3 linked regions of the Arabidopsis thaliana genome follow. The protein of the gene in region 1 interacts with the protein of each later gene in a pairwise test. Each region holds a gene or a part of one and is shown in the gene's direction. Other genes may lie near its edges.

Region 1 (4,766 bases):
AGAAGAGTTTCATTAGTTGGGTTTGTAATCAGGAGTACAAAACTGGTGTTTTACCTTAGTCCATGAATATGTGGTAGAAACCAACGTCGGTACACTTCCATTGTAAGTCTCAACCTTGAAAGCAAGTGGCCCTGATTTTTGTTTTTCAATTCAAACAAGTTACTGAATAGTATGCAGAGACGACAAATGAGAAAGAGTTAAGAGATTTTTATTTTACCATTCTCATAAACAAGACCAGAGAAAGAAGAGCAGCCAGGTCCTCCAGTTAACCAGACAAGAAGAGGGTCTTCTTCTGGATTGTTCTCAGATTTGATGAAGTAGTAGAACAGTTGATCTTCCTCTTTTTGACCAACACCAATATACCTTCATTATGTAACTCTAAAACTCAGAACACAGCGTCATACATACATTATAGGGGTAATATGGAAATGAAAATGCAGAGGAAAAGAACCCGGTTTCGAGCTCGAATGGAAGAGGGCCTTCAAAACCAGGAAGATATCTGATGATAGAACTTGAATCAGCATGTTGAATCAACACAAGCACACATTGCAGCAGCAGCAGCAACTTGAATATCCAGGAAGCCATTCTTGTTTTAGTTTTTGAGTTTTAACATTTTTTATATATACTCAAAACTCAAAAGCAGAGGCGTTGACCCAAAACAAAGATGGAATCTTTTCGGTTGAGTATGGTTCTATAAACCGGTCAATTGCAATATCTATACCCGAGACAATTCGGGTTAGTCTCTCTAACCAGTTCCAATTAATCTGTTTAGTTTTCCTTTGGATGTAAAGGTGTTTAGAGTTTGTTTTCTCCTTCAATTACCAACTGCCAACTGGTTAACGAATTGAAATTGAGGGTTTGAGCTGAAAACACTTGGGCACTTGACGTGAGAATGTACGTGGAAGGCCAGAAGGGACAAAGTCCCATGTAAAATGCTTTGCAGGTTATTTTATTGCACATGACATAGGACAAATTATTGTTTAATGATTTCAGCATTGCCTAGAAAACCGGACCGGTTGACAGTTTGAACCGGTTCAATAAATTTGTATGGGGTAATATTTGTAAAGCTAAGACTATAGAGTTCGTTAGGGGTAACAAGAATAGTATGGGGGGTTAGTTTGCAAATTCCCGTTAAATTTGTCGATGTTTCTTTTTGGGATGGTGGGTTTGTAGACAAATCGACGTCTCAGAGATTGTAATTACGGATCGTGTCTCTGCTGCTTCTTCTTCTTTCAATCCGATTTCGGACAACCTTTTACTCAGACAGGAGATTTCAGTTTTTTTCAGGTGAGCTTCTTGCTTTCTGCAACTCAAGCTCTTTTGTTTTTTGGGTTTTGTTTCTTTCCTTTTTCTTTTCTTTTTCTTTTGTTTGAAGTTTCCTCCTTCTTTGTTTTACTTTAGTCATTGGAAAGCTTACTTTTTCTCACTTTGTGATTTGCCTTTGGAAATTAAGACTTAGTTGACTTTCAGAAGCTTATAAAGTTTCAAGTTTTTTTTGTTCATTTGATGACGTTTTCAGCAACCAAATTCCATCGAATTATCTTGATGAATCCTTATGGATTTCAAATGTTAGTATGCTTTGAATTTCATGTGTCTGTTGAATTCTGTTAAGAGTCATAGATTTTGAATCCTTGGTGATGAGTTATTGGTTTGAGTGATCAGCTGCTATAAGCTTAGTTCTCGCTTGTGTTATAAGCTTAGTTCTCGCTTGTGTTAGATTTTGAATCCGCTGTTTTGTTTCAGTCCATGTTAGTACTTGAACCGTTGTCTTGCAGTGTGACTTAAGCTGGTTTCCGTGAGCCAATAACTTGATACTTGTGAGTGTGCCCAAATTCCAAACTGATGCAGTTCTCTCTCTCTGCTATCTGTTAATTTCTTTCATAATCATCTTTTCTCTTTCCTCTTGGCAGCTTTTCCTCCCTCTAGTGTGAAACTCTGCACCAGAGGTGAAAGGTTATCATTGCAAAAGGGAGCACAAGTGGATAGTGTTTGCTCAAGTATTAGTACAGAAACTAGTATGGCTGATACCAGTTCAAGGACTGATGTCTCAACTGATGGTGACACAGATCATAGAGATCTGGGGGTTAGCTCGTAATCTGGCTCTAATCATTTTATAGTTTTATTATCTCTACAATGTCACTCCTGGGAGGCTTGTACCGGAATCCCTTGGTAAAACTTGGGGCATTCTACCGGTATAGCCAAATCCACAGGACTAGTCATTTGCTTATGTTCATCAAACATGCATAGTTTGAATGAAACAGTAATTCCTGATGTTGATTACATGCAGTCTGATAGAGGGCATATGCATGCTGCTGCCTCTGATTCCAGTGATCGATCAAAGGATAAGTTGGATCAAAAGGTGATAGATTCATCTCTGTGGATCAACTAGCATCTGTGTATATTACGCATATGCATAATCTGTTTTGTTTCCTTTTCGTTTTGATCCATAGACCCTTCGTAGGCTTGCTCAAAATCGTGAGGCAGCAAGAAAAAGCAGATTGAGGAAGAAGGTATGTATATTTTGCTTTTGTTCTTGTTTTGATTTTTCTTATATATTCCTCTTATTTCCTTGTAATATCTCTAGAAGAATATCTATCTGTCATTACCTTAAGCATGTTATTGTTTCCTCCATAGGCGTATGTTCAGCAGCTGGAGAATAGTCGATTAAAGCTGACTCAACTTGAGCAGGAGCTGCAAAGAGCAAGACAGCAGGTTTATTAACTTTCTTATTTGTTTTGATTCTGATATGTATGTCTTTATAAAGAAGATAAAAGGCTGAAGCTACTTCAACTTATAACTAACAGTCAGTTACGAGTTAGTACTAGTCTTGGGTTAGCTGAAGTAGAGGAGGTAACAGAATTATGGGTCATCCATAGTTTAGTTGGGTAAAAGTAGCTGGTAACTCTCTCGAAATAGGTCCTTCTGGTCTGTTTATTCGGATGTTGATGGCATACAGAGAATTTCTATTCTGGTTCTTATCAGATTCTTTGTCATGACTCATGACAGTGTATTTGTCACTTAAGGATATATATTTTTCAATTTTAGGGAGTTTTCATCTCAAGTTCAGGAGACCAAGCTCATTCTACTGGTGGCAATGGTGGGTTGTTTCTTCTCTGTTAGTTTTGAGATTGATCCTTTTGATTTGAAATTTCTATGTGAGATAAGTGCATATATACATATATGTTGATGAATTGGTGATAGCATAAGTCATCTCATGGCAATATGCTTACACTTGTTAGAGTTAATGGTTTCAAGAGTCAGTGATGATCTGGATGGGAAATTAAAGTCATGGTGATGTCAAAACTGAAGTTTCTTATAGTTTGCGCTGGTGTTAGCTTAGGTCTGCAAGGGTTTGTTCTTGATCTAGTATACTTGCCTTTCTGCAGGGGCTTTGGCATTTGATGCAGAACACTCACGATGGCTTGAAGAAAAGAACAGGCAAATGAACGAGCTGAGATCTGCCCTGAATGCTCATGCAGGTGATACTGAGCTCCGGATAATTGTGGATGGAGTGATGGCTCACTATGAGGAGCTTTTCAGGATTAAGAGCAATGCAGCTAAGAATGATGTCTTCCACTTGTTATCTGGAATGTGGAAAACACCAGCTGAGCGATGTTTCTTGTGGCTTGGCGGGTTCCGCTCATCCGAACTTCTCAAGGTAAGCTCTTTCCAAGTCCATAGAGAGATTTTGATGAACAGCCAACTTAATGAGTCGCAGTGTTTTCACAACAGCTTCTTGCGAATCAGCTAGAGCCCATGACAGAACGACAGGTAATGGGCATCAATAGCTTGCAGCAGACGTCGCAGCAGGCAGAAGATGCTTTATCTCAAGGGATGGAGAGTTTACAGCAATCCCTAGCTGATACTTTATCCAGTGGAACTCTTGGTTCCAGTTCATCGGATAATGTCGCGAGCTACATGGGTCAGATGGCCATGGCAATGGGGCAGTTAGGCACCCTCGAAGGATTCATACGCCAGGTACTTTAGAAATGTGGATGTTATCGAGATATACCATATCTTTTCATCGTCACAAAGAGATAAATATTTTATTTTATATATGAATCCGTCTGTTATGGAGTTCATAGGGCATTTCTTGGTGGCAGGCTGATAACTTGAGGCTGCAAACACTACAACAGATGCTTCGAGTATTAACAACACGTCAGTCAGCTCGTGCTCTTCTTGCTATACACGATTATTCATCTCGATTACGTGCTCTTAGTTCCTTGTGGCTTGCCCGGCCAAGAGAGTGAAACAGAAGAATAGTGCTCTACTCAGCAGTCAGCCCTATACATAATCTTATGACTCAGATCGGCAGGGATACTCCTTCCAAGAGATCGATCACAAAGCAAGGCATTCTCAGATTCTTACCAAAAGCAATATTTTGGGAAAGAAGACTGCAGGTTTTGAAATTGGTTTCCTGAGGTCCGCAAGACTCGAGTGTTGTGTGTGTTGTAATTTTTAGCCATCAGGTTGCATAGTTTTATAGAGTGAATGTTTATAGGTCTTTGAATATTCAAAGCGGATAGGTGATCAGTGTAAGGTCGCAATTACCAACATGACAGAAGATGGGATCCTTTCAGGAACTTGGATTGTATGATCATAAACTCCAGCAGACCAAATCAATTTATATTGAGAGTTCAAAAAAGAGAGCAGATTGTGTATCTTGAAATCATAGCAAGATTGCCCAGTAAACACTGTCACACATAAAGCTTACAGAGGTTTGGCTAATACTATGTATAACCAACCTGAGTCAGAGAAAATACTCA
Region 2 (4,987 bases), about 17 Mb from region 1:
TTTAGAGAACAATAATATTTGTTAGAAGATTTTTACTTATTCATATTCAACTTGTATAATATATATTATTGACGAATAAAAGCTCCTGAACTTAATTAACGTTTTTCTGGGTAATAAGTTTGCACGCCTCTCCTCTGTAACATAATCAATTATCATCATGGTCCATGGACATGAAGGTTTTATTTTTATTTTTTGGTTCGGTTAGAGAAACTTCATAATCATTTACGTTCTTTTCAAAATCCTAATTTTTATGAACATGTAGGAAATAAAGAGATTATGTAATGTGATGTAGGATAAAAAGTGGGGAAACAAGAGAAGAGACGGTCAGAAATGGACCAACGGTCAAACACCAGACCATCAAATCACATTCACTTAAGTTAGTACAGTGGAGACTTTCATTGGTTTTGCCTTAACGAATTAGGCCAATGTTCTTATCCATCACCGTCCTGTCCAGTTTACCATTTTATCCCATCTTTATACATAATTATATTAGCAATTTAATACGCATGCATATGGGTTCGAATAGTGATCATGGTTGGTCTGTTCTTTTTCTGCGATAAATGTGGTGAATGCTTTAAAAAAAAAAAAAAGTTTCATGGACGTGTCGTGCCGTGACGACTGACGATGGCACACATATAAATGCGACACACACGATAAAACATTGTAAATATGGTCGATCCAAACCAACAGGAGAAAAATAAATCGATTCAAACCAACAATTAAAAGAATAATAATAGAAATTACCCTAAAATATGACACTTATTAAATTTTTATTTCAAAAATACGATAATTAGTTTATTTTTCTAATAATACCACAAATTTTTATGTAAAATATTTTTATTCAATCAAAAGAAATTACAAATAAAATTAAAATATTATATTAAGTTTCCTATTTTCAATTTAAAGTTTGTATTTCCTCCATTTAAGTAGAGTTTTGGAAGAAAAACTCAAAAATGTGGTATTTAGAGAATTTCCCCAATTTTGAATGTTAAATTTTTTTGGTTGAGATCAATTAATTTGCTTAATTTCTCTATCATTTTACTGCACAATCTTTCGACTTCATCACCATTATACTAAAATGCACAATTATATTCTTATGGTATCTCTCTAACCTTAGTTTGCCCATTAAAAAAAAAAATGGCATCTCTCTAATCTCTAAACCACTTTTTTCATCGAAGTAGTCCTCATTTTATTAGCATTAGGTGACGCAGACACCCCATATATATGATGAAAAAAAAAAAATATATATATATACATGTTTTTATGTTATATAATATGATATCGTTGATTAAGTTTCACGTATGTCGTGAACCAAGCCAAAAAGACAGTTGCCAAAGGCTCTTTTTCATGATTTTATTTTCCTTGCAACTAATTTAGTTCGTGATTATGTATACGACTAAGTGTTACGTGACACACGGGGTTGATTTGGGTCCATAGTTAGTCGGTAGCTAATGATATTTACATATCTTATGATTATTAAAATACTTAAATCTCTCTCTATTTCTTTCTACTTTTATATTCACAAAACTAATCATTTCATCTTTTATATTCGATTGCCCCCAAATGGATACGGCCCATACTTCTATGCTTAACATACCCTTTTCTCACTTTGTCATTTCTCTCTAAACTCTAATTACTGATATGCTTCTGATGACAAAAAAAAATCAAATACTACAAAACTCCAAATGCTAGTGGCCAATAAATAAAAGCACAAACGTCGACATTAATCATTTTATTATAAATTTAATTCGAGACCCCCCGGTCCGCCCATTCAGATCTCTGTCTCTTTCTCTCACTATATCTATCTATCTACCCACAAACCAATCTTCTAAACACTATAGTCTCTCTCTCTCTTCTTCATCTTCTCCATAAGCTTCTAAAGATATATAAAAGCTTGTGACTCTTCTTCACTTAAAGAAATATTTGCTTACGAAAGAAAACCCTATTCTATATATCCTACAGCATACTAAAATCAAAGGGTACGACATTTTTTTCGTTCTTTTAAAACCCTAATTTGTTGTATCAAAGAAATCAACAAAGGAGCTATGAGCAATACTTTCGAAGAATCACTCAAATCTATGTCATTGGATTACCTAAACCTCTTAATCAACGGTCAAGCTTTCTCCGATGTCACTTTCAGCGTCGAAGGCCGTCTAGTCCACGCTCACCGTTGCATCCTCGCTGCTCGTAGCCTCTTCTTCCGCAAATTCTTCTGTGAATCTGATCCTTCGCAACCCGGAGCTGAACCCGCTAACCAAACCGGATCAGGAGCCAGAGCAGCCGCAGTAGGAGGAGTCATACCGGTTAACTCAGTCGGTTACGAAGTTTTCTTACTTCTACTTCAATTCTTGTACAGTGGTCAAGTCTCAATTGTACCACATAAGCACGAGCCAAGATCGAATTGTGGAGATAGAGGATGCTGGCACACGCATTGCACTGCAGCCGTCGATCTCTCTTTAGATATTTTAGCCGCCGCTCGCTACTTTGGCGTCGAGCAGCTCGCGTTGCTTACTCAGGTACTAATTATCTTTATTTAGGTTAATGATTCTTGTTCTTTGATCTTGATCTTGGTAAACTAATCTACGGATTTGTTTTAGTTTGGTTCGGTTGAGATGAATTCTGAAACTCTATATATTGATCATGATAAACATTTTTTTGTTGAAGACTATTAACAATAAACATATGTGGATATATAGATAGGAGTTGTTATTTTCTTGATTTCATGTGTAACTAAGCTTAAAGATTGCTTGCATTGCACGTAGTGCAACTTTCTTTCCAGATTTAGACGGCAATGGACTGATGTGTTTTGCACACCGAGAAATTTCCTTAAAATGGAATGATGCTTTTATTTTTTTAATATACATACTCTTTATTTAGTAGAAAATATCTTCTAAAATAGTAACTTGGAGAAAAAAACAGTGATTTTATTAGTAGTCCCAAAAATTGAGAATTGTCTTAATCATTCATTCTGCGATTTTGCATGATATTAGTAATCGCATATTTGTGAGGATCGCTGTTTCCGTTCAGCATTCCCGCAATTTCTCAAATGCAATGACCTAATTTAAAAGAATTTTATCATTTTATAGGCTTTTAGTGTAACTAGATTTTTCTCGCTTAAGCAATTTTGCCATTTCATTTTGTATTCTTCTCCATATATAATAATCTCTTGAACCATAGTCGCGTGAAACAACTCCTTTATAATGAAAATGATATTCATCCAATGAAATGGAAGTGGTGGATATATAGTGTCTCTAACTTCAATATTGTTTTGTCTTTAAAGCCAACTGTGTTTTTTTCCCTCACAGAAACATTTGACAAGTATGGTGGAGAAAGCCTCCATTGAAGATGTGATGAAAGTGCTCATAGCTTCAAGAAAGCAAGACATGCATCAATTATGGACTACTTGCTCTTACTTAATCGCCAAATCCGGTCTTCCACAAGAGATTCTAGCCAAACATCTCCCAATCGAACTTGTAGCCAAGATTGAGGAGCTCCGTCTCAAATCTTCAATGCCTCTCCGTTCACTAATGCCTCACCACCATGACCTAACCTCGACTTTAGACCTCGAAGACCAGAAGATCAGGAGGATGAGACGTGCATTGGACTCCTCTGATGTCGAGCTTGTGAAGCTAATGGTGATGGGAGAAGGACTCAATCTAGATGAGTCCCTAGCTTTGATTTACGCGGTTGAAAATTGTAGTAGAGAGGTTGTAAAGGCACTTCTTGAGCTTGGAGCAGCTGATGTGAACTATCCCGCGGGTCCCACAGGGAAAACCGCTCTTCACATTGCGGCTGAAATGGTGTCTCCGGACATGGTGGCTGTTTTACTCGACCACCACGCCGACCCTAACGTCCAGACAGTGGATGGAATCACTCCTCTCGACATCCTTCGAACCCTAACGTCAGATTTTTTGTTCAAGGGGGCAATTCCTGGATTGACTCACATTGAGCCCAATAAGCTTAGGCTTTGTCTCGAGCTGGTCCAGTCCGCGGCATTGGTTATATCACGCGAAGAAGGAAACAATAACAGTAACGATAACAACACAATGATCTACCCTAGGATGAAAGACGAACACACGAGCGGAAGTAGTTTGGATTCAAGATTGGTTTATCTGAATCTTGGTGCTACAAATCGTGATATTGGAGATGACAATAGCAATCAAAGGGAAGGAATGAATCTGCATCATCATCATCATGACCCATCAACGATGTATCATCACCACCACCACCATTTCTAGGTCTTTTTGTAGTCCCTATCATCCTTTTTTGATAACCATCATCCTTTAATTAAGATAAACATATTCAATATCTAATTAAATTGTTGTTATGGTATTCTTTTTTTCTCTATGTATATGGCCATGCGAACAAATTTAAACGTTAACTCCATGGAGTCATGGAGAGTGGAAGGGAACACAAACAAAAGGGTCATTTATATATAGATGGATAAAGATCTTGAGTTATATCTTGACATGTATAAGCTTGATTAATATTAGGTCGTTGGATTTACATTATTCAATTTTCTTATAATCAAACAATGCATTACAGTGATCTTGATCGTAGCATTTCCTTTCCTTTTGGGTAAAGTGAGGCTAAAAAAAACAATAATAGCAAAGAAAAAAAGCCAACATTTATGGAAGTGTCAATGTCATCACCACTACAATATGTACATTAGTGTATTCAAAGACAAACAACAAATGGTCGGAGCTTGTAACTTTGTAGCCATATGAAAAATACAAATCCTGCAATAATATAATAACATTACTTCTGCTCCGAAGGAAAAAAATAGTTTGGTGAAACTTGAAAATTGAAGAAGCTTTGTGGCTAAAATAAGATTTTCTCAAAACTAGAGGACTACTCTACAAAATTTTGAAGCACTGTATAGGTTTTGCAACCTAGTCCTTTAGAAGAGAGGAAATTCTCTTTGACTTGGTCAGTCATAAGTGTCTACAGTGTTACTCATGGTCATGGATTAGATTCGCCTGAGCGT
Region 3 (5,537 bases), on another chromosome or scaffold:
TGTTCTACTTCAGGGATAGCTAGATCGATTAGTTTGGGTCTTCAAGAGTATTCTGATTATGATAATGTGAATGAGATCAAGAGTGTTTCTGCATCATCTGTCTTTGAGTTTCAAAAGACTGAGAAGGAAAAAGTTAATCAAAGAATGCCTATTAGATCATTCTCTAAACCAGCTCCATCTAAATGGGATGATGCTCAGAAATGGATTGCTAGTCCTACGGCTAACCGACCGAAGACTGGACAGGTTCAGGTTCCGGGTTCGAAGAAAGGGCCTAGCTTTGGTCGTCAGTCTTCTATGAAGATTGTTGAAGTTGCTGAACATAGAGTGGTTGAAGAGCCTGATACAAAGAGAATAGATGTAAGCCAAGTGAAAAAGGATATGGGAAACAAGTTTGGTAGCTGGGAAGTTGATTCGTACACTACCGTGGATTCATATGTCAAACCGGTTCTTATGGTTGAGAACTCTATTGTAGAATCAGCAACTGAAGGTGGTGTTAGCTAGCTCTTTGAGTTATTCAGTTTGTATGCTCTATTTATCTTCTAAAGCCAATTTTACTTGCTTTCTTGCAGTTAATCTCAGCCGTCATGACTCGTCAGTCGCAACTGCGTTTGCTCAACCGCCTTCAACGGCAAGGTCTGTGTCAATGAGAGACATGGGAACTGAAATGACTCCTATAGCGAGCCAAGAACCTTCTAGAAACGGGACACCGATTAGGGCAACAACGCCAATACGAAGTCCTATATCTTCTGAACCTTCAAGTCCAGGCAGACAAGCATCAGCTTCTCCTATGAGTAACAAGGAACTGTCAGAGAAAGAGCTTCAAATGAAAACTAGGAGAGAGATAATGGTGTTGGGTACTCAACTTGGTAAATTTAACATTGCTGCTTGGGCTAGCAAGGAGGATGAAGATAAAGACGCATCCACATCATTAAAGACCAAAGCTTCTCTACAAACTTCTAAAAGTGTTTCTGAAGCTCGTGCTACAGCGTGGGAGGAAGCGGAAAAAGCTAAGCACATGGCTAGGTAGTCCAAAGTTGAATTGTTTGTCATAGTCCTCTAGTTATTCTCGAAACTTTAAGCTTATGATGAGTTCTGTAATCTCCAGGTTCAGACGCGAAGAGATGAAGATTCAAGCATGGGAGAATCATCAGAAGGCGAAATCTGAAGCCGAGATGAAGAAAACCGAGGTAAACTACACTAACATAGCTACGTAAGTTCAAGTCATGATTGTGAACAAACTTGGAAAAACATGAATGATGATGGTGGAGTTCTTGATATTGTAGGTTAAAGTTGAGAGGATTAAGGGACGAGCACAAGACCGGTTGATGAAGAAACTCGCTACAATCGAGCGCAAAGCAGAGGAAAAGCGAGCAGCGGCTGAAGCAAAGAAGGATCATCAGGCAGCTAAAACAGAGAAACAAGCTGAACAAATCCGAAGAACAGGCAAAGTACCTTCATTGTTGTTCTCTTGCTTTAGCTTTTGTTCTTAAATCCAATCCTATTGTGAATGTGATGTTGTTAATTCTCAAGAACACATCTTTCTATCATCATTTGTATAATAAAAGCTTTGAAAAACTTATTTCTTGTGATCTTTTAGTTGCTTTGTACATCTTCAAATTTTGGTTTTGAGAGATCTTCGAATTACTCGGTTCAAGATGTCCTTACCAAAGTGAAAACCAAAGTTTTGATTTTGGTTTGGATTTAATTTTGGTTAGATTTCCTTACCAATGTTTGATTGTAAAAGATCTACCAATCGGTTTACAATTTTGGTTCAAGTTCGGTTTAAATCACCTTATCATTGTCTATTTCACAACATTCCAAAGTCGCTGGTTCCATCAGAAGTTATAATATCAAGGCAAACAATATGGCTAACAAATAAACCAATAATAAATCCCCACGTGTCAGTATTTGATTGATTACAAATAAACCGAACTTGATCTATTGATATTTCCCATCACATAAGAAAAAAAAAGAGCCAAAAAAAAAAACTTTTAGGCTTAGCTTTAAAGGGCACACACACACAGTCGCGAGTTTCTCTCTGGTGCGCTCTTTGTGGCGGCTCGTCTTCTTCTTCTTCTTCCACGGGACTCTCTCTGAATCGGTGATTTTCGATCTTCCTAGGGTTTCGATCTGAAACCTTGCGATCTACTTGAAAGAGAGATTCAGAAATTTCCAAGTAATAATAATGTTTGCGCCTGCGACTCAACCGCAACAGCAACATGAGCAGAAGAAGCAATCAGAGACTGTTTCATCTGCTGAAGAAGATGCTTTGAAGTGGAACACCGATTGCGTTTACTTTCTCGCTTCTCCTTTAACCTGCAAGAAGGTAATTGATTTTTGATTATTGTTTCGCTTAGATCTTATCCAGTTTCTGCTTCAATTAGGGTTTTGGATTTGAGATCTCAAGTTTCTTTCACCCGATTTCAAGTTTCTCTGTGTTTTTGTGTCCCTCGAAGCTATCTATACATACTTCACTTCTCCATCTGCTTAATTTTGGTGCGAGATTTAGATCTGGTGATTTCGAACCTCGTGATTCTAAGTATTGTTGTTTCTTAGGGCTTCTTGTTAGCTAGATTGAAAATTACATATACAAAGCTTTATAAGGATGTTCTGATAAAGGAGATTTTCATGTTCTGTGAATATGATTTTTGCTCGATGTGTATGTTTATGCTGAAGAACGATTCTTATGGTTTCTTCCTTTTTTGCTTACAGGGACCTGAATGCGAGTATCGCCACAGTGAGTATGCGCGTATGAACCCGAGGGATTGCTATTATTGGTTGAATGGAAACTGTTTGAATCCCAAATGTGGATTTCGGCATCCTGTGAGTTTACTTTCTTCCTCAATAGATAGTCTCTGCTTGAGCTTCTTGAGTTGTATTATCAAAGTGTGCTTATGTTTGTGGTTTTGTTTTCTTACAGCCTTTGGAGGGATTGTTGGGAAATCAAGGAGGTGCTCCTGCTGTTTCTGTACAGCCAATACATGCAACCGCGCAGCATCCTAGTGTTGCAAAACAGCCTGTTCCATGTCTGTTCTTTCAAAAAGGCATGTGTATGAAAGGAGATATGTGTTCGTTCTTGCACACGCCGAATCCTGCTGCGTATAAAAAACAGCATCCTGTAGAAGCTAAGCCTGCTACTGATCCTCAGTGTTCTAAAAAGCCAATTGAAAATAACACTGAGGAGAAGAAACTTCCTGATGTTAATCTCTCAAAGGTGGTTAAAGGACATACTGACATATCGGCTGCACCAAGAGTCGCTTCTACTGGACTAAGGGATAGTAGAAGTGTAGAGGGATACATTCCAAACCATGTGGGATATGAGCCTGTTGTGCAGAGAAAGGGTCCAGGATTCCCTTCTTTTACTGAAGGAGGCCATTCTACTCAGTTGCTTCAGAAATATGGATCTGATGATAATAACAGTTTCCACAATGGTAAGGATGCAGATGACGTTTTAAGAGAGTCGTCTCCTGGGTTTGATGTTCTTGTGGATAATGAGGCTGGAGATTCTGAGTATTATCATGTTGAAGATCGATATGGACGTAGAAGTCAGGAGAGAGGGAACTCAGAGTATGACCCTGATTTCAGTGCAATTGCTGATGGTGATAAAGAAGCATTACGTGAACAACGTTTTGATTCATATGATCGGAGGGAAGACAGGGGATGGGGCCATCGTCGAGTTTCTTCTGAGAGAGAGGATCGTTTGGACAGAAGGGTTTACGCAGAAGATGAGAGATCAGAGAACATACTGGAATCGGATCTGAGATATCGTTTGGCTAAGCAGAGAAAAGGCAATGGTATGAGATTATCAGTAGGAGGCCATGACTATGCTGCTCCTGACTCTTCGATGGACAGAGGATATAGAGAGTCTCGTAGGGATACACCGAGGGAAAACTCCATTAGCAGTAGTCGTCTTCAGGGTAGAATTAAGCTTCGTGAGAGAAGCAATGGCGAAGAGGGTCACCACTTTGACAGGAGAAGTGAGAGGGGAAGGGACAGAAGCGAGTTACCTTCTCAGGGTAGACTCCGAGATAGAATTAAGGGTAGGTTAGAGGAAAACCATAGTGGTAATCAGGAAAGAGGTTTCGGGGCTCCATGGGCGAGAAGAAGAGAAATGGAAGACGAAAGAAAATCAGCTCCTAAAAGCAGCAGAGAGGAAAGTAAGCCAGAGCCATCTCTTGGGAAGAGGAAAAGCTTTGAAGAGGATCATCATAGTCATAAGCGATCAAGGGATTCATTTGCAGCTCCATTGCCTTTCAGTGAGATTCTCAAGAGAAAAAAAGCGGCCGCATCTGGTGGTAGCAGAAACAACAACAAGGACGAGACGATATCGAAAGAGGAAGCTGGAGATGAGATCAAACTCATAACCGAAGAGAAAACCGAGGTTGTCTCTGAACCCAAAGCTGAAGTAGAAGAAGAAGGAACGGTTATGGAGGAAGAAGAAATTGTTGGGGAGGAAGTGTATGAAGGAAATGAAGACGAGCAAGCTTATGAAGGCGATGAGCTAAACGGAGAGTACTATTACGAAGAAGGATATGAAGAAGAGGGAGGAGAATACGCTTACGAAGAAGGTGAAGAAGTAGTTTACGCGGCTGAGGAAGGAGAAGAAGAAGCAACAGAAGGAGGTGAAGGTGAGGGTGAAGAAGACATTGAGAAGAAGACCGTTGAGATGTTGTCATAAAAGAAGAAAGAGTAACACAGAAAAAAGCTTTTGCTCCTTTCCTCTCTCTCTCTCTCTCTGCTTAATGCAAATGGAGAGAAGAAGTCGTAGAGCAAATAATACGAGTCGCTTTTATCTTTGGCTTGGCACTGAGTTTTAGTCGCCATTTTTTCTTACTGTGATTTCTTAAATTGTAACACTAGAGAAGAAAGAAAAGAAACAATGGTACAAGTACACCATATCATATTTCTGAGTTTTACTGTTTTCTAATCTGTTTTGATATATTACTTTTTCCTCAAATTAAAAAGTATTTACAGTAAATAACTTATTTTAGCTTTTAACACCTTTTATCATTATTGTTTTTGCACTTGCATACCATGAATGATGTAATACCACTTTAGCATTATTGTTTTTGCCCTTTCCATAACATGAGTAATTATGTAACTGATTTCCACCAATCAACTTTAAAGTATTTACGAATTTAGTCGACCAATCTAATTAACCCTGAGTTAAAAAATGTTATGAGAAAAAGAAGACTGGGCCCAGAATTATAACTTTTGGGCCTATGTAGCCCGTTTCCAAAGGCCCATAAATCATTATTTTACAAACAAGAACAACAACAGGTAAAGAAATAGACTTGGTGGAAAAAAGCAACAAAACCCAGAGTTCTTCATAAACCCTACTTTCTTCTTCTTCTTCTCCTTCCTTCCTCTTCAGTAGAATAGTTGAATACCATAGAATACAATGTCTCTGAGTTAAACCATGAGGCTCATTCTATTCACTTTTAACTTTTTTCCTGAAAATGTTCTGTTCTCTTCGCAATTTTCTTCACGTTAATCGCAGATTCCCTCGCCATGTAAGCCCTTCTTCTTCTTCCCTC

Evidence for each region. The genes of interacting proteins can lie anywhere in the genome.
Region 2: the proteins of TGA6 (region 1) and BOP1 interact in a two-hybrid assay, tested with the Arabidopsis thaliana proteins (one study listed by BioGRID).
Region 3: the proteins of TGA6 (region 1) and AT2G02160 interact in binary tests that used the Arabidopsis thaliana proteins (3 or more experiments, as listed by UniProt).

What each region holds. Positions count from the first base shown.
Region 1 is NC_003074.8:3,904,334-3,909,099, forward strand, and holds TGA6 (TGACG motif-binding factor 6), read left to right. Parts: upstream 1-2,017; coding exon 2,018-2,083; exon of another isoform or gene 2,084-2,117; coding exon 2,118-2,192; exon of another isoform or gene 2,193-2,239; coding exon of another isoform or gene 2,240-2,287; coding exon 2,288-2,359; intron 2,360-2,450; coding exon 2,451-2,510; intron 2,511-2,634; coding exon 2,635-2,712; intron 2,713-3,045; coding exon 3,046-3,097; exon of another isoform or gene 3,098-3,346; intron 3,347-3,386; coding exon 3,387-3,658; exon of another isoform or gene 3,659-3,732; coding exon 3,733-3,978; intron 3,979-4,103; coding exon 4,104-4,250; downstream 4,251-4,766. Other genes in the region: SCPL15 (serine carboxypeptidase-like 15), read right to left, coding at 55-131, 218-363, 452-585.
Region 2 is NC_003074.8:21,145,790-21,150,776, forward strand, and holds BOP1 (Ankyrin repeat family protein / BTB/POZ domain-containing protein), read left to right. Parts: upstream 1-1,825; 5' UTR 1,826-2,045; coding exon 2,046-2,516; intron 2,517-2,762; coding exon of another isoform or gene 2,763-2,840; exon of another isoform or gene 2,841-2,875; intron 2,876-3,305; coding exon 3,306-4,238; 3' UTR 4,239-4,449; downstream 4,450-4,987. Other genes in the region: SDP1-LIKE (sugar-dependent 1-like protein), read right to left, coding at 4,953-4,987. UniProt on the Arabidopsis thaliana protein: May act as a substrate-specific adapter of an E3 ubiquitin-protein ligase complex (CUL3-RBX1-BTB) which mediates the ubiquitination and subsequent proteasomal degradation of target proteins. Acts redundantly with BOP2.
Region 3 is NC_003071.7:552,548-558,084, reverse strand, and holds AT2G02160 (CCCH-type zinc finger family protein), read left to right. Parts: upstream 1-1,953; 5' UTR 1,954-2,185; coding exon 2,186-2,326; intron 2,327-2,712; coding exon 2,713-2,823; intron 2,824-2,920; coding exon 2,921-4,678; 3' UTR 4,679-4,999; downstream 5,000-5,537. Other genes in the region: AT2G02170 (Remorin family protein), read left to right, coding at 1-487, 570-1,023, 1,106-1,187, 1,284-1,490; EMB2794 (Tetratricopeptide repeat (TPR)-like superfamily protein), read left to right, coding at 5,460-5,537.